Mus musculus: one gene and its partners. The protein of the gene in region 2 interacts with the protein of the main gene of each other region in a biochemical or structural test. Links are inferred from orthologs where the notes say so. Each region holds a gene or a part of one and is shown on either strand. Other genes may lie near its edges.

Region 1 (6,231 bases), about 40 Mb from region 2:
TTAAAGAATCTCTCTCCCTCTGTGTGGTGTGTGTGCGTGTACATGCGTGCGTGTGTGAGAATATCACTGGAAAAAGAATGTGAGGGTGTGGCCACATCCTGCACTTATTTTTAGCTAGGCTGGTGGTAAAATCTACATATTTAAACTCTGTGCCCCATGTGTTCGCATTTGCCAGTTTATCTCCCCAGACTCATCTGCTGGCCTAAAAGACTTCCACAGGCAAACATGCTTTGCCTCGTATCCTCTGCTGCTTAAAGCTTATTTTCAACACGGAAAGCTGCCGCTGGAAATAGCAAGCCCAGCTGTGCATTGGGCTGCAGAGCCCACAGCTGGATTGAGGATAGTGCCTCCCGAGCCTTCTTCCTATTTCCTCTCCTAAATCAAGAAAGGAGGCTGCTGTTAAACATGCAGGATGCTGCTCCTTCTAAGGAAACCAGTGACTGGGACTGGGTTCATTCAGAGAACATCTAGCTCAGATCATCCCCACCTGACAGATTGGGAAACTGAGGCTAAGACAGGTTAGCGTCTTTCCCAATGTCACCATTGAGCTGTAACCCATGCTTTTGACCAATACCCTCCCTCTCTTCCTTCCTTCCTTCCTTCCTTCCTTCCTTCCTTCCTTCCTTCCTTCCATGTCTGTGTGTGATGTATATATGGTGTGTGTGTGTGTGTGTGTGTGTGTGTGTGTGTGTGTGTGTATGTGTGTAAGCCAGAAGTCAATGTCTTTTTCAGTTGTTCTTTACCTTTTCTTTGTTTTTCTGAGACAAGATCTTTCTCCAAATCCCTCAGTAGTCTGGAATTCACTTATATAGACCAGGCTGGTCTCTACCTCCCAAAGACCAGCCTGCCTCTCCCTCCTAAGTGCTGAGATTAAAGGCGAGTGCCACTAAACCCCACTACCTTATATTTTGAGACAGGGTCTCTTACTAACCCGAAGCTAATGAGTCAGCCAAGTGAGCTCTACAGACTGGCCTGTTTCTGGTAGCACTGGGATTAGAGACATGGGTCACCACACCTGGCTCCCCAGGTGGGGGGTAAGGAAAAAACCTGGCGTCCTCAGGCTGATGCAGCAAGCACTTGATCACCAGTCTTTCTCTAGGGGAGGATGCATTACTCTTGAGAAACTGACAAGAAGATCCCCCAAATTGAAATGAATTTAAGCAATGTATTTTTAAAAATATTCCTGTCACCACTTTTTACTAAGAAGATGTTCTCTGGACCCCAAATGTTGGAGCAGCCAGAAGAAAAAGGACTTTGAACAATCCCCTTTGTGCTAAGAATCTTAGTCTCTTTAGAAGGGAGTGAGGTTGCAAAGTGCTCCCCCAGGGCATGCTTTAGCCCGTTTCATCCTGCCCCTTCTCCGAGGGACTGCTGCTTTTACCCGAAATAGGGAGGAAACCGGAGTTCCGGAAGACAGATTAGTTCAAGGCCAAATGACACTAAGCACAGATCCAAACCCTCTGTCCTGCAAAGGGCAGATCTAGCGAGGCTTATCACAGTCCTGGGGGCCCTGGGACGTGGGAAATGGGGACAGGGCAAGAGTTTGCTGTGGTCCTTGTATCTGGGGCAGGGGTGAGGTGCGGTGGCGGCAGCCGTGGCAGCGGTTTGGGGGGACTGGAACCTAAAGGTCCCTGAGCGTTCCCAGAGTCCCCTCCCAGCCAGTACGCAGAGACCCTAGGGTGGGGGGGTGGGGGAGGTTGCCGTGGCAACTCGCATTCCTCTCGGAGTGAGTCACGGGAGAGAAGAGCCTCTTGGTGGGTGGGGCTTGGAGAAAGTTTCAAAAGCTGACTCCTTCTCCCAGAGCCACCCCACCCCCTCCCCCTCCCTCAGTGCCGCTCTGTCGATGTGGCAGCCGATGGCTAAGTTAACCAGAGTTAACTCTTCCCTCAACCACTTCTTTCAGGTTTAATCCTTGGCAAATACAAATTTGTTTCTATTTCCGAATTACACCTTACACCGTCACACCATTCTGGGGGTCTGCATCTGTTTGGGAATATCTTAAACCTAAAAGCTGTGGACACCCATCATCTCTTAAACACAAACAGAAACACTCATGCACGCGCACTCACATACACACACTAATTCCAGAGACTCTTTGAAGTTGCTTATTCGTAGACCACTTTATAGGCTCAATTAAGTGACCCTGCTTGGGAAGTCTTAGGGGAATTCGGGTACCCCAAAAGCTATCCCTCTTCCTTAGGACAGGAAGGCTACACTCAGGGGAGATGGCTATGTGAGATCGCCCACAAATTGCCTAAAGCTTGTTACCTCATGTAGGGTCCGCATCTCACTCCACTCCCTACACTAGGAAGGTTCTAGAAACTTAAAAGAGTTGTCAGTGGAGACACTCCCTCCCTGCAGGTGTGCTGTCTGTCCCTGAGGCAGATGCCTGATACCTGTTTGTCCCCCTTAGGTGAGGCTTATTTCCAGCCATTCTAGGAGTCACAGGAAGTTTACAGAACAGCTTGGAGCAGACAAGCTTTCAACAGGCTGAGTCTTGGATAGATTCAGTAGTAGCAAGAAAAGTGTCCTGGAGCTATATCTCTCTGTCTCCCTCCTCCCCATCACACCCTCCTCCCTGTCGTCTCTGGATTGTATCAAATTGTTGGCTTTCTCAGATGTCTAGATACGGTAGAAGCAATGTTAATGCCAGTGATGACCACCTCTCAGAATTAGGCTGGGAACAATGGCAACCCCAGGCTGGGAGAGACAATGGCATTTCAGACTGACTGAAATGCCACGGGGTGATGGGGTGGGGGTGGACAGAGATTGAAGGGACCAGAGCCTTCCCAGAGGAACTGACTAAAGGGAATGTCTTGCCTTGGCTGTTTACAGATCTGTTTATCCTTCTTGCAAAGTCCCATTTGGACAACAGTGCTCTGACCCAGAACTGGATGTCTGTTCTCCCAGAATAGGAAGCCAGACCCAACAGGCTGCCAGCCAGATTTTCTCTGGGTTGGCAGTCATGATGGGCAAATGAGGATCGGATTCTCAGAAAAGGAGGCAGCTGCCTCCGAGGGTGACAGAGGACAGACCAGTAGCCTCTGCCACCAGAGAACACAGAGAAAGCGGTCCCCGCAAACCATGGCTATTTTCTGCAGTGCTACAGAGACAACAAGTTCCCCTGTGAGTGAGCAACAGGTTTCCAGCTCACCTCCCCCTGAGACTGGTCATGGGGATGGGGCAGAGAGGAGATGATGAAGCTTACAGAAGGGCAGGGGCTGACAGGGAGGTGCATACCTCGGCACAGGCAGGCAGGCAGGCAGGCAGGCAGGCAGGCGGCAGAAGAGTTCTGGCGGTCTGAAGGGCTGCAGGAATGTGGAGGGGTTTAGAGGCGAGCAGCAGGAAGCCTCTTGGAGCTCTGGGCAGGGTCTGTCTCACCCTCCGCCTCCACTCAAAGGCCCTCCTCCTCCTCTGTCTCCTCCTTCCCCTGGCCTGCCTCCCCCTTCTCCCCAGAACCAAAGCTGTCTTTTCTTTCTCCCTTCCTTGCCTTGTGGTAGGCTGTGTGCTACCCAGACACCCTGGCCCCACCTGTCTCATCTGTTCTGGGGCTCCTGCCTAAACAGACATGAGGGTCAGGGCTGGAACAGCTGCTGGAATCACCTAGAACAGGCCAGGCCTTGTTCAGAGCCGAGGCTGCTGACTGAAGAGTCCTAGACATTAACCGAGAGAAGAGAGAGAGAGAGAGAGTCACAGAGGCACGGCTAAGCCCCTTGTCCTACTTTACACACAGCCAGCGAGTGAACTTGCCTGAGCACTCTCTTGGGCTTAGCAATGTACAGCAAGGCAGAGAGTGCACGCTGGCATGGCAGTGGGGGAGCAAAAGTACCCAGTTTTCTCAGTGCCAACAAAACAAGCTGCCACTGGTGATACTGGTGGCATCATCCTTGATAACGAGGCGAAGTCCCCTCTAGGTCTAGTGGCACCAACCACGGGTACGTGAAGGATTAGAACTAAGCTGGAAGACTTGCGCTGTCAGTACCTGACAAACTCAGAGCAATAATACTGATAGTCAGATCAGAAGCAATAGCAGGGTTGGTGGGGAAGCCACAGGCCTTTCATTTAGGTGTTGTTTGGTTTTGGAAGAGGTCGCACGTAGCCTGGGCTGACCACTCACTATGTAGCTGAGGATGACCTTGAACTATTGATCTTCCTACTTCTATCTACTTCCAGGGTGCTAGGATTACATGTGTGTGCTACCTACCATGACTATTTTATTTAGTGCTGAGGATTGACCTCGGGGCCGGGGGGGGGGCAGGGGGGGGTGTTAATGATTGTTAAGCAAGCATGCTACCAATGAAGCTGCATTTGCAGCCCAGACAGACACACCAGAAGAGGACATCGGACCCCATTACAGATGGTTGTGTGCCACCATGTGGTCGCTGGGAATTGAACTCAGGACCTCTGGAAGAGCAGTCAGTGCTCTTACCCGCTGAGCCATCTCTCCGGTCCCAAGAGGCCATTTTAATAACAGGGGCACAGGCTCACGCAGGGCAAACAGCTTACCCAGTAACACCTGACCAAAAGTGGTCTGAGAACGCTGAGTCTACATTTCAGCCCCACTCTTCTTTGGGGAACATGGACACTCCTCATCTATGCAGCAGCTCTTGACTGAACATTTTGGGCCTGCCTACCTGGGGAGGTACCAGAATAGACGTGGTGGCAGGAGTTTGGGGTGTGGCTAAAGGGATGCACCTCATGTGCAGAACCACTTCCTCAGTGATGCAGACCCCAAGGCTTCTCCCAGGGGGTCAGATCAGCAGAAACTTCCTGAAAGCGTAGATATCGAAGCAGCCATTGAGTTTGGATAACAGGGGACTGGAGAAGGTAAAAGAACAGTCTAGAGATAAGCTTATACACACCAGGATCCCTGCCTTCCCTGCCACGCCCTCATCTACCACACTCCTCCTGCTCTCCAGCCAAAGCAGTTTGGACTGGACCTTTCCTGAGCCTGGACCTTTCTCATCCTTCAGAACTCTATTCTAATGTCACCTCCTTAGATAAGCCCTCCTTGTCCACTCAACATATAAGTCTCCTTGCCTCTCTCACAGGAAGTAGACACCTCAACATCATCTCCCTCCCTCCCATACCGTATAGCACCATCTGCTGCCTTCCCTTGACAAGCAGCCCAGGAAAATGGGGGCTTTCATGCATCTGTCCGAAAGGTTTTTAGTTAGTTTTGCTTTGTTTGTAATCAGTGAGTGGCCTTCCACTATCCCGCCTGAAGAAAACAGAAGGGACTCTTTTCTTAGGGTTCCAGTCTGGGACAGAGACCCTCAGACCTCCTGAGTACCCGCACATTTTTCTGCAGAGAAGAGTTATGGCTTCCTTCAGGTTCTCTCTCCAAAGGGCCTGTGAAGAATCCTAAGGAGACTTTTGCACCTACATAAGACTCCTGAGTCTTCTCCTTGATCCAACAACTGGGAGCTTTAGGCCACCAAATTTGGGGTTCCAATAGACTCCCTAAGCATCTGCTCTGCCCATAGGACCGATGTCTATTTCCACAGGATTGCTTACTGCAGCTCTGGGCATTGAGGAGACTTAAATTAACTGAAGCCTCGTGCTTCAAACTAAGCAAAAAGAACTATACCTAGTACAGACTTTGGGTCATACCAAAGTTAGACCAAAGATAGAACAAGTTCACTTGGAGTGCAAGAGTTGGAAACCTGTTTGGGGCTGGGGATGCAGTTTGTGGGAATGCTACTGACGGTTCCTGGGAGGACAGAGATCCAGAATCTCACCGGCCAGCCAGGTGGCTCAGCAGGTAAAGATGCTTGTCACCAAGCATGAGAAGCTGAGTCCTAATCCGAAGCCCACACAGAGGAAGGGAAGACCCTACAGCTGCTGCAAGCTGTTCTTTTTCTCCTCCCCCCCCTCCCCCGGTTTACCCACTGTGGTGTTCTCACTCCACCCCCTGCCACAAACACACAAACAAATAAGAGGAAAAAAAGAGAATGATTGAAGTCCCCAGAGGATTTGAATTTAGAATTAAAGCATGCCAAGGCGCAGAAGTCCTGCAGAAAGACTGACCCTGATCATGACAGGGGACAGAAGAGAGGGCTGGGCCTCCTGCCTCACTCGGGGCTTCCCAGGGAGGGAAGGAAGAGGCAAAGGAAGCCTGGTTGAGCTCCCTATCTGCCACTAAGTCTCCAACAACACTAGAACACCTCGAAACCCTTTAATCTACAAAGTAAATCTGTGCTCATTCCTAGCCCTGTCTCAGCTACATAT
Region 2 (6,180 bases):
CTCTTACAAGAGATGTCTACCAGCCTTCTGCCCTCATCCCCATCTCCCCCACCCCCGCAACAGTACATGCCCAAAATGATCCATGAAGACCCTTAGATACGTACAGGTGCACCAGGGGGGCCAGGGAGACCACGAGGACCAGAAGGACCCTACAGAAGGAAAAAGAGGGGCTTTTGATATCTGTGAATAAAGGCAGTATGGCAGAAATCTGTTTCTACCTCTTCCTGTGGGGATCACTGTCTGACTTGCATCTACTGTAGATCTCAAGTCCCTAAGGTGGCCTTTACCTCCCAAGCTATCTGTACCACCCCCTTGCAGGACATCATTGGCCTTTCTCTTCGGGATGCCTATCCTCTGTGTGGTCACTGCTCCCCCTGGTGGCTCACCATGGGGCCAGGCACGGAAACTCCAGCTGATTTTTCATCATAGCCATAGGACATCTGGGAAGCAAAGTTCTAGAAAAACAAGAGAGAATGTGTGAGAAATTGGACTCTGGATGGTAAATTGAAAGCCAGGAGGCATTAGCAGTAATGGGACAAACGGATGTAGGCTTCCGGAAGTAATTAACTCAGGGAGACAGCAATATAGCCTGTAAGATATTCCTGTACCAGACACCTCGACTGAATTTAATCTAACCAGACAATCCCAAACTACAGAAGAACCTATAAAATAACACCCTCTGCCCAACAGCCAGACTCTTCAAAACCTTCCCAAGTCAAGGATGACATAGAGTCTCAGAAACAGTCTACATTTGTGGGAACCAAAGGAATGAGACAATGGAATGCAATTGGCGGTCTTAGACAGGAAGGGGGCGGGAGAAATGCTATAAAGAACATTTTGGGAGGCATTGGTGAAATCTGCAAATGAGATTGCATATCAGGCAATATTAATCAGGCTAGATCAACATTAAATTTGGTGCTATGGTTCCATAGAATGCCCTTGCTCTTAGGAAATGCACTTAAGATCGTAAGTCACGGGCACGTTCTTGGCAACTTATGTCTCAAATGGTCCAGGACATACAGCGACATAGAGAACTGGGTGCCCAGAAAGTGGCAAAGCGGTTGTGTTGAAGAGTGTATAGAAGTTCTATTCTATTCTATTTTCTGTAAGTTTATAATTATTTTAAAATAGAAAACTATGTCTGACAAAACCAAAGCAAAGAAAAACAAACAAACAGACAGACAAACAAACAAACAAAACGGGAAGTCACACCCCTCTGGGGTCTCCAAGATCTACTTACTCCTCCAAGGCCAGGGGGTCCGGGGGGCCCAGGGGGACCAGGAGGACCAGGAAGTCCAGGCTGTCCAGGGATGCCATCTCGTCCAGGGGGGCCAACGGGTCCCTGCACCAAGAGACGGAGGGGGCTGCTATGAGCACAAATCAGAGCCACGCCCCCTCCAGTTTCCCAGCTCATTTAGAATACGATGCTTACCCTTGGGCCTTGGGGGCCAGGGTCTCCCTTGGGTCCCTGTGGGGTTGAGGATGAAGAAACAAAAGGCCGTTAAGAGAAGCAAAGAAAACTGCAGTTTATTGGAGGACAGTGGGGGTCGTGGACGGGTGGGAGGAAAGTAGGGAGCAGATTATTACCTCGACTCCTACATCTTCTGAGTTTGGTGATACTGGGGAGAAAAACGTTCAGTTAGAAGTAAATTTACTAAGGTACCTGGGGGTGTTATAGGCTTTCAAGACATAGGCGAGGGAGGGACTCCAACCTCCCTTAACCCTAGGACCAGAACCGTACCGTATTCTTCCGGGCAGAAAGCACAGCACTCGCCCTCCCGTCTTTGGGGGTTGGGACAGTCCAGTTCTTCATTGCATTGCACGTCATCGCACACAGCCGTGCCATTGTGGCAGATACAGATCAAGCATACCTCGGGTTTCCACGTCTCACCATTGGGGACCCTTAGGCCATTGTGTATGCAGCTGACTTCAGGGACTGAGCAAATGGGAAGAGACACAGGATGTGTGCGGGTCAGAGACCTTACCCCGGAGCACCAGGGATCCCAGCCTTACTCACTCTTTGCCCTGTCTAAGAGGCGCACGGAGACTTCCCACTTCCTGAATCTTTCCCCCCACTCCCTATATTCTTCCCTCAAATCCTTAAATGCAGGTCTGCTCCATATCGGCGACGTTCAGTGACAGCACCAGGGCGCCTGGCCAGGACTATAACGTCCCAGTTCTCAGGAATTTAAACAAAGCTCTAGACTGGGGTTTCTTCCAAACAACTTCAGCCCACGCGCGCGGGAACCAAATGAAATAAAAAAGCCTGCTGAAGGAGAGTAGGAGGGCTCCTACGCAGTAGGTGGGGGCTCGTGGGACGTGGTTTGCGCGGAGACAGGAGGCGGGGGTGGGAGGAGAGAAGGGGAAATTCAGCCCTGGTCCCACCTCCTTTCCCGGGGCAGGTGGGGCGGAATGGGCGGGGCTACAATGTGGAGGGGCTGATTTCAGTGGAGCCCTGTCCAGTGTAGTAAAATGTATCCCTAAAGTTAGATACATCCCAATTTCCAGCTCCCAGGAATCTTGAAAACTTGCTAACTAGACAAGCCGGGTCCTTCAAAGCCAGTAGTGCTTTGGAATCTCCTTAGCCAAAGAAGTCAAGTCTACAAATAGTAATGATGAGTTAACCACGCCCACCGCTCCAGGACCTGATCAAGGCAACCACTAGGTGGCGGGCAAAACTAAGCAATGCAGGGGCGGACCGACTTTTACTCGGCCTGGGTCACTTCTTTCAAAGACCAGAGCTACCCCATCCATCCCTGCTTTTATTTTCCTAGTCTGGAGATGAGGGTCCGCAATAACCCAGGTTTTCCTTCTCAGCCTGTGCGCTGTAAAGTGCTGTACCAGGACTCGTAGTGCTCTCGGCTGGCCAGCAGGAGGCACAGGGACCGCGCCCAGTCAAGTCCTAGCCAAACTTTCTCATCCAGCAACCCGCCCTCTCCGTGCGTCCCCTCCCCCCCCCCCGAGAGCCCAGCACCCCGGAGGCCCCAGCAACACTGTCTAGCCTGCAGAGAGGGCAAACAATCTTTCCTTATGAATCATCCCGCAGCCTTTTTGATAGCTTTTACATCTTGAGCTCCGAATCTCTATTCCAGAGGCCTTATTTCATTTTCGACGTACTCTGCCCCAACCCGTGTCCAGATTCCCACTTTTCCTGTTGTGCTACAGATGGGTGCTTGAAATTTCTTCCTGGGCCATCTCATGCAAGGCTCCACTTCTGAGAACTGCTCCCCCTCATCTGCTCAACAGGGTGACCTCTCTCATCCCGTTTCCTCTCCATCACCGTCCCATCCCTGCCTCTGGAGCAGCCCTGCACCTCCATTTAAGTCTTATCTGCTAGGACCCCTCTATACAGAACGCAATACCAAGAAGCTGTAGTAAACTCCCCAGAGTTTGGAACTTACTGTCTTCTTGGCCATGCGTCAGGAGGGCAGTGGCCCCTAAGAGGAGCAGGAGCCGGAGGTCCACAAAGCTGAACATGTCTAGACCCTAGACATGTAGACTCTTTGCGGCTGGGGTGGGGGGTTAGCTTCGGCTCATGCGTGGCCTCACTCCGCGTGCCTCCTGCTCCGTCCCGAGGAGAAACTCCCGTCTGCTCCGACGACTGGCCTGGGCCCCTTTTATACCATCTTGATGGAGAGCTGGGAGGAACCCTGCCTCTCGGAGAGGGGGAGCCAGCAGCCCGGCCCCCAGCCAATCAGAACTGCCTGGCCCGGCCCCCAATTTGGAACGAAGAGGGGGGAGGAGGGAAAGGAAGGGAAAGGAGTCCACCCAGCGCCCCCCCTCCCGCAACTCTGCCGCCCTTGCCCCCCAGATCTACATGGGCCAGAGGTGCTGTCACTGGAGTGTGGCTGGGCCCTCAGTATACTGAGTGTGGGTAGAGAATACCCCTTGTACTTTCTTTCTGGGACTTCAAATCAGAAGGATGTAGAACTGAGAATCTGAGTTGGGAAACACTACAAAGGGATCAGTGTCAGGAATAATTGGGAAAAGGTCCTCCTGGCCATGCCTAGTAATCTTTCAGGCATCCTGGGGAAGAACTAAGGAATAAGTTAGATTAATCTGATTAGAACCTATCAGCTAAGCAGATGTGCCTGTTGGAGGGAGGGGATCACCTCATGGTGTGGACCCAGGAATGGAGGGTAGGAATATTTGTGAACAGTTATACATCTCTTCACAGATACTAAGAGTCAGATATGTGGTGGTTTGAAAGGAAGGGGGTGCCTATCTGTTCTGCCATGCCAGACACACCTTTCTAATAAATAACAGCTCTGAGGCTGAGGCTTGGGGAGACCTTTGACATCCTTGTCCTTCCAGAAGAATGCTTATGCATTAAGTGATGAGCAGCAGTGTGGGCAGGGGGCTTTCTGGGTCCTCAAAGCTGGGGCCTGGGGCATGTTGTATAAATTCTTCTCTGACCTCCTCCATCCCAGCACTGGGATGTGAGTTTGTTGCAGGAAGCCTGTGACCAGGGATGTTTTAGAAAAAGGTCTTGTGTCAGCTGTGGCCACAGCCAGAGATTTGTTAGAGGCCCTCTTATGTAGCAATATCAATGCAGAATGAACAGGTAGAAGGTACTTGGCCATAGAGGGGTGTTCTCAAAGCTACAGAGAGCCCTCTTTTCTAATTGTACTTGGATGTGGTCTGGGGACACCTAGGTGAACTCAGTGTGTGGCAGAAACTTGTGTTTGGTAGCTGAGGGACTTTATTTAATGGTTTCTTCCCATGTCCTCACTTCTTTGCTGAAAATCTTGGCCATTGCTCCCCACCTCTGCCGTCAGGAAAGGGTCATCTGTAGTCCCCCAAGAACAGCAGCTTATATTTAAAGTTGTCGCTAAAAGACAGTGTCCGTTCTTCCCCGGTGCTCCCTGCACCCTGCAAAGGTGCTCTGTCCAATCTGCTTAGGAACTTCATCTTGTCAAACTGTGTGGGTGGTGTGGGAAGGCACTGGGGTCTCCTTGCAGGGCCCATAGACATCCTGTATCACTTCCCCCACCGGCTTCTTTAGAGCTGTAAACGTGGAAGCAGGGAGTCCCGCCTCCTCCAAACCATCCAAGATTCCATTGCTCCCCCCCCCCCCTTCACGCCCTCCCTGAGCTAGTTTTGTGCAACGAAGGCAAAGGGAAAAAAAAAAAAGACCAAGGGAACAGAAGGGGAGGGAGCCACGTCGCTGGCCGTGGGCAGCTAGGCCGAGCAGTGCGGGTGGGGTGGCGGAGGGAGACTGCAGGGGCTATAATTAAAGGGAAAATATAGAGTTTCCAGAGAAGCAGAGCTGGAGACAGCAATGGAAGGACAGGACTTCATCAATTATCCCAACCATGTGGCAGTAACTTGTGGCCCAGGATCTGCCCCCGCCTAATGCCAGTGCCTGTAGGGCAAGGCTGGGGCTGAGATGCTGAGATGGTAGTTCCGGAACTCACCAAAGTCCTGCCTTCCACTGTGGTCAGTTCCAAAGGATGCCCCACTCCCCAACAGTGGACAAGGATGGTGTACCTCAGAGGGAACAGGTGTTTGAGGTGGCTGTGTCCAGGGTAGAATGCCACGAAGCGTGCGCACACACACACACACACACACACACACACACACACACACGCGCGCGCGCGGTGTGATCTGCTCACCCTTTGTTGGGTTTTGTATCAGAAAAGCACTTATCCAAAGCTCCCTTTCCCTGCTCCCAATCTAGCATCCCCAAGGCTCACCTGGAAGAAGAGACAAGAGCCTAACAGGTATGAACTGGTGATTGCTACATTAAGGGCCTGAGGTTCTGATGGAAACTTGGAGACCACTAGAATGGGTGTGGGGGAGATTGGTGTGTGTGCATTCAGTGACAGCCGTCACCCTGTGTCTGATTTCCAGGCCTTTGCCCCAGGAGTTGAAGGCAATGGGTTCCAAGCTTCCTTTACACGTGGCATGGAGCTGCAGCTCAGGACCTCCTCTGCCACTCTCTACTTGAAACGATTGGCGGGTGCCCAGCTCAGAGATGTGTCTTTAATTTCTGCAGCATGACAGAGAGAGGAAGAATGTGCTTGGGGTCTCCTCCCAGCCTGGCGGGGCCTCCCTGGCTGGGCTGAGGGCTGGAGACTGGGGGAGGGGGAGTTGGAGCTGGGAAGGGAGGAGAACGCCACGCCACGCCACGCCACCTCATCTTTAGGAAACTCTAAAGCTCTGGCTTTTTGAGGAATG
Region 3 (6,112 bases), on a different chromosome or scaffold from region 2:
ATCTGTCTGCCAGAGCTGAATACAAATTAGGGCTGGCCAAAACCGAATGCTTTAAGCGGGTTTTATGTATCTGACACTCAATACTTGGTCTTTGAACTAAAGCAGGTAAGTCATTCCAACGTTTAGATAGATTTGTTCTCTTAGCTGCTCAGCCTGGGGTATTATTAAGATAAACCTTCTGAGATTTAAAGAGGAATTTGCAGATGTCATTACATATTAAAGAAAAAAAAATCACTTTGGTAGCAGGCCAGAGCACATTTAAAAATGTGTGTAGTCATTTACGTATCTCCCGAGACATATGTCTCCAAGTCTTATTGCAGTCTGTGAGTGTCTCTTACCTGGCAGTGACACTCTGTGCAACTGTCTACAGTCCACTCCTCGTTGTTCTTGTACTGGACTCCATTGTGAAAGCAGAGGGGAGGCCGCTTCAGCTCACTGACCAGCTCTCTGTTCTCTTCCGTCTGAAAGGGGAGAAGGCTCATGAGTGTCCAGGCTCCCATGGGACCACCTGTGGTGATTTCCAAGAGCTGGCAAATGGGAGGGGAAGCCACTGACCACTTTTCGGATGCTGTCCTGCAGAGTGGTCACGATGGTGCGCAGGCCCTTCAGTTCCAGGACCATGCTGGATAGTTCATCACAGGAGAGGCCACAGATAGCTTGGAGGTCCTTTGTTTTGTGGCCGATGTAGTTGGTGCGGATAGCAGGGCTGGAACCGTTCACCACGTTGTTGTCAAGGGTAAGAAGGACGTTGGTAGCTGCTAAGAAATAAGATGTAACGTATTCGATAGCTGATTCAAGGTTTCAACAGCTGATCCCACCAGCCTACCCTTCGGGTTCTGGGTTATAAAAGACATTTCCTTTGGAATGACAGAGTGGGTGCGAGCCAACTCTGCTCCCCCTGAGATATTGTGTATGCACCCTACTGCTTACATTAATCAGGGTGCTTTCGGTGGACTTCCCCAGAATTCTCCAAATCTTAAAAAACACAGGGGTACTCACAGCTGGAGCAGCCTTTGTTCCTGAGAATGTCTTCTGGGGTGGTTCCAAAGACAAACCTCACATTCTGCAGCACCCCCTGTGGGCAGAGGACAGACGTGGTTTAATGCTGGGCGTGGGGGTGGGGCGGCCAGTCTGAGTTTGCTTGTGGTGAACGCTCAGAAAGTTTAAAAGAACTTAAGATCATCCTGCCAAACTATCACAGAGACATAAATTGCCGAACAACTTCAAAATCTTAATTGTGTCTTCTGCCAACTGGAGCATTTTACAAAGAATCCAGTTTTCAGGCTGCTTGGGGTACACAGGAAATGGAATTTGATCCCAAGTCTGGAGGACATGATACTCTCCAGTGACAAAGAGTTAATGTGGGCGTTCAAAGCCACGCTTGTAAGAAAAAAAAATATCTGAAAGTTAAGGCAAGTAAGGAGTCCCAGAGGCACATGACTGGACTGTTATTCATGTCTTGCCTTAGATCCATACTGAAAGCACCCAGAACACCCTGCCCAGGGACTCAAATACTGACAAAGTATCCTTTTCATGCCCTATTAAAACTGCTAGGTACATTTGATACAAGTTACTTTCCTAAGGGCACAGGGAGTACCCCATTCTGAAACAGGCTGAGTGTAATAGGAAAACCATTTCTTATCTCTCCTGATAGCTTTGAAAGCATGGGTCCCAGGTCCTGGCACCATTACAACTTATTTCTTATTAGGAACAAAATTTCTCGGGTCCCTATCAAATCTGAAACCCTGGAGTTTTGGGTCATCTGTAATATGATTTAACCAACCTTCTGGGGGTGTCTGTTCCTCTTTACATTTGAGAATCATTTTTAGTCTACCGATATTAATTCCACATAGCCCTTGTGACAGGTAAGAAGATTTACCTGAAAATTGTCATTGACATCTCCCTTTGCAACTCGGAGCCTGGCAACGCTGGCCAGATCCCTGGTGAAGATGCTCTGGATGGGTACATCCAGCTCCGCGCTCTCCATCTTATCACAGTCTATGTAGAGTTGAGCCCGGTCCTCTTGAACAAACAGCGTGATGCTCTTCCACTGGCCAGTGGCCAGGAGAGCTTCCTCCACTGACACCACTTGTTGCTTCCCTGGCAGGCTCAGGCTCAGGTCCAGGGTGCCAGCTTTGCCGTTGGAGACCACACTGAAGATCTGGCCAGTGTTGTCTTTCCGTTCCACAGCCAGGAGTGTGCCCCGGGTCTTCTTCATCTGCCTCAAGGAAGCCAGGAAGATGAAGCCTTTGTCGGCCCACACAGCGTCCAGTAGGTCTTGGAACTTGTCATCCGGCACAGCGGGGATCAGGTTGGCATTCTCAATGCGGAAGGCGGGGCTGGATAGATCTTGGCCCTTCACCAGTCGGCGACCGGGGCCCCTTCGTGCACCTCCAATGAGTTCAAAGATGTCAAACACACCGTTATCTCCCCCAGACTCTGTAAGGAGAGAGAAGACAATCGGCTTTCTAGGCTAGGTATAAGGGGGTAAAGTTCTGGCTGTGAGGAGCCAAGGTGGGAACTCGTGACAATAATGGCAATTATGGAAAGCTGAGCGAGGGAAGCTGCATCCTTATCAGGAGATAAGGACTCCAAGGAAACACAGGAGCTATCGAGAGAGAGAGAGAGAGAGAGAGAGAGAGAGAGAGAGAGAGAGAGAGAGGAGAAGGGGGAGGAAAATGAATATATCACAAACTCACCTGGAATGCGGTTGCTTCCACACATATGCAACAGGAACAGGACACCTAGTCCCCGCAGGAGCTCCATGGTGGAGCCTTTGTGCCCAACACGGAGCCTGTAGCAAGAAGCACAGGAGGCCAGAGTCAGAGACCAGGAAGCAAGGTGGAAGGGCAGAGGTGTGTGTGTGTGTGTGTGTGTGTGTGTGTGTGTGTGTGTGTGTGTGTTTCTTCTTTTGCCCCATATGTGCTGAAAAAGAAGGGTTTACTTTCCAAACGGTATCCAGTATAAAAAGAGCGCCAGAGGCAGGGGGATTGTTGGAGTTCCAGGATAAAGGGTATAAAGTGACTTGGGTCCGTCCCCTCCCCCCCGCCCCTTTAGACAAGATTACAGAATGTATTTTGGATGGCGACAGTCAGGGGTAACCTGGAGACTACTGGGGAGAAAATCTTGGGGTGTCTTGGAGGTATAGTTTGTGAACCCGAAGGCTGAAGAGAACCAGCTCCGGAAAGTTCTTTCCAGGGGATAGACGGGGCAGGATAAAGGAGTTAGGAAAACCAGAAGGGGAAGAGTAGGAGATGAGGAGTAGCGCTGATCATCTGCAGCCTGGGGCTTTGAGGTGGCCGGCCAGGTGCTCCGCAGAGGCGGGAGGTTTACCTGTGTGCACCGGGGCTCAGTAACCCGGAGAGGTGGCAAAGGTGAAGTGAAGGACAAGGACGCTGAGTCCGGTGAAGACGCTGAGACTGCCGGTGCGCCGGGAGAGACCGTGGCAGAACTGGATAGCAGCTTCGCGATTGCCTGCAGAAGTCCGATGAGGCTGGCTGACTCCAGGCAGTGGCTGGCTTGACTGAGGAGCCCAGGACCTTTTAAAGAGGCAGGAAGCAGGGAGGGGGGAGGGTTCTCGGGGGCGGGGGCGGGGGACGGGGACGGACGGGTTCATTTCTCCGCCCCCTGCTGCTTGGCGCACAGCTCTCGGGCTGAAAGTGAAGGGGGAGACTCCGATCCCGCACAGGAGCCCTGGAACTTGTCAGAAAAATAGGTCTCCGCCCACGCAGCCTTGGCGTACTCAGCCTTTAGCGCTTAGGATCTTGCGCCATGTGAACTGGAGACGTTCTGCATGAGAGTCCCCAGACGCGATGCTTCTTTGGGGACCACCTAAGACCCTTTAGGGAGGCTTTCATTAAAGCACATCTCCTTGAATAATTCCATGACAGAGACGCTTGGGGATCGAGACAGTCTGGTTTAAAAATAAAAGAGGGCAAAAGGTTGGACCCCTTAAAGGAAGCTGCCTCCTGAGTCAATCCTGGTGGGTGGGGGATCCCATGTCATCTATACTTTGCGCTTCACTCCTGTCCCGCACGCCTGCCTTCCGTCTGACTCACTAAGGGTGTCAGCACGGTGTTGCACAGGGCCAGCAGGACCGTGCACGGAGGTCGCCTTCCGACTCACTGTCCAAGTCGAGAGTTTTTTCCCCAGTTCTACTTTGCTTCCTCAGATGGCCGCTTGGGGGCGGTATATGTATTCTGATTTAGGGGATCCTTTCGGAGAGTTTTTAGCGGCATTTTAAGGAAGCGAATTTATATCCCGCTCCCTCAAGGCAAAATTGAAATTGTGTCTTGAAAAACAATTTTGTGCCCACTCGTGTTTCTTAACGTGACTCCCGATAGGAGAATTTGCTGAACCATCTGGCTCCAGGATCTTACACTATTTACAGAACGGACCCGTAGAGTTATAAATTACTCTCTACCTATTATTTTATTTCCCATCTTTCTCCCTAAACAGTTTTTTTTTCATTTTTTCGGCTCCCAAAACCGAGGTGTGGTTTACATTTCTGTGGGTATACACTTTTCCATCAGTAGACTGCTGCCTGATCCTTTGTCTCTGAAGTCTGGTCTCAATGCCATCGGTCCGGAGCCAAGATGACTCCAGCTGCCTGGAATTCCATTCATCTCTTTGGGAAGGGACGTCAGCGGCGGCGATGCTTCTCCAGCTGTGGCCCTGCGTGAGCAGGCTTGGCTCTGAGTCCAGGGATCCAGGTAAAAGCATCACCAAATAAGGATCTTGGCAGAATCAGGGCGGGGCCGGCTGAGGGACAGCTGGGGCTCCCTCCCCTTATCAGTTACACCTGGCTGGACTCCCAAACCTTGGAAACACCCAGGACTTTATGCTCATCACACAGCAATTTCACTTTCCTTGTGTGGGAGGGAGTGTTCGGTGACAAGGTGTGTGAGTGTGCGTGGTATGTGTGCGTACACGCAAGGAGGGGCTTACAGAGTGTTTCCTAGTTACTCCGGGTACACAGCTACACAGCCAGTGCCTCTTGTAGATAAGTACGTTCCCAAGATGTGTTTGTTTATTAGACTTCAGATACTCAGAGCCAGCAGTAAAAGTTTCTACTGGTTGATTAGTCAAGTTAGATTCCTGCCCTTGAAGTCACAGGCCCTGACTCAGCCACTGAATCTGAAGATTCGGGATCATCAGGCAGGCTTGCTCTTCGCTTCCAGTTCCTTCCGCAGGTCCTCTTTGCTTTGTGGAAGGCGATTGCTTTAAATATCCTGCTCAGCACTAATTCTTCCTGCAGGAACCTTTGGGACTGCCCTGGGAGGGCTGGTCTTGAGACCCTCTTTCCTCATGAGTTTTGTACCACAGAGGTGAATGTCAGCGGCCCACAGACAAGAGCTTCTCTCCTTGTGTAAAGCCACCAACTTCCCTAGGCCCAGCTACACCTTGCTGATGGATCAGGAGCAATCAGGGTCTGCCCCTTTGGGCCATGTGCTGTCCAGACTGAGGGGGTGTGGACAGTTTGTAACTTGGCTCCTTTCAACAACACAATACAAGTTTTGACCTCCTCCACACCTTTCAGATAAGGCATTATGGGAGAGCTTTGTTGTACTGAAAGCTGGCAGTGGCCTAGGAGATGTTGAATACAAACATAGAGTCTTTCCCTAAACACAGCATGACAATCCAGCTGTCCTGGTTTGCAGGAGATGAGGTTCCTAGGCAGCTATGAGGTCTCACCCATATTCCCAATCACCACCACCCAAAGTCCCGATCATCATGTGCTGTGAGCAGATGACAGAAATTCAGCACACTCTTGGGATGTTGTAGAGAAGCAAGGGAAAAAGCAGGAGTTACTATCTTTAGTAGGGAGAATACAGTCTGTCTGTGTGAGTTCATATGTGTGTGTGTGTATATGTGCATGTGTATGTGTTTATGTGTGTGTTTGTGTATGTGTGTGTATGTGCATATGAGCATGTGTGCATGTATATGTTTGCCTGTGTGTACGCTACCCCCTTCTTGTGTGTGTGTGTCTCCTCAGTGAGTGCAAGCATGGATCCCCTCCTGCTTCTATACCTTATGTCTATTATTTTCACTTGTCTTCCATCCACCCTTCCTGTTAGGCCTCATGGTCCTCTGTCATAAATCCTACTTTCGT

The links.
Region 1: the proteins of Col1a1 (region 2) and Sparc form a complex in vitro, tested with the Homo sapiens proteins (2 studies listed by BioGRID). The link is inferred for Mus musculus from reciprocal best matches to the Homo sapiens genes COL1A1 and SPARC.
Region 3: the proteins of Col1a1 (region 2) and Thbs1 form a complex in vitro, tested with the Homo sapiens proteins (2 studies listed by BioGRID). The link is inferred for Mus musculus from reciprocal best matches to the Homo sapiens genes COL1A1 and THBS1.

The regions. Positions count from the first base shown.
Region 1 is NC_000077.6:55,416,548-55,422,778, forward strand, and holds the start of Sparc (SPARC precursor), read right to left. Parts: upstream 3,534-6,231; 5' UTR 3,241-3,533; intron 1-3,240.
Region 2 is NC_000077.6:94,933,666-94,939,845, reverse strand, and holds the start of Col1a1 (collagen alpha-1(I) chain preproprotein), read right to left. Parts: upstream 3,623-6,180; 5' UTR 3,478-3,622; coding exon 3,402-3,477; intron 1,937-3,401; coding exon 1,742-1,936; intron 1,620-1,741; coding exon 1,588-1,619; intron 1,469-1,587; coding exon 1,433-1,468; intron 1,343-1,432; coding exon 1,241-1,342; intron 456-1,240; coding exon 387-455; intron 150-386; coding exon 105-149; intron 1-104. UniProt on the Homo sapiens protein: Type I collagen is a member of group I collagen (fibrillar forming collagen).
Region 3 is NC_000068.7:118,109,297-118,115,408, reverse strand, and holds the start of Thbs1 (thrombospondin-1 isoform 1 precursor), read right to left. Parts: upstream 3,534-6,112; 5' UTR 3,334-3,533; intron 2,795-3,333; 5' UTR 2,767-2,794; coding exon 2,700-2,766; intron 2,440-2,699; coding exon 1,880-2,439; intron 1,076-1,879; coding exon 1,000-1,075; intron 759-999; coding exon 556-758; intron 462-555; coding exon 339-461; intron 1-338. UniProt on the Homo sapiens protein: Adhesive glycoprotein that mediates cell-to-cell and cell-to-matrix interactions.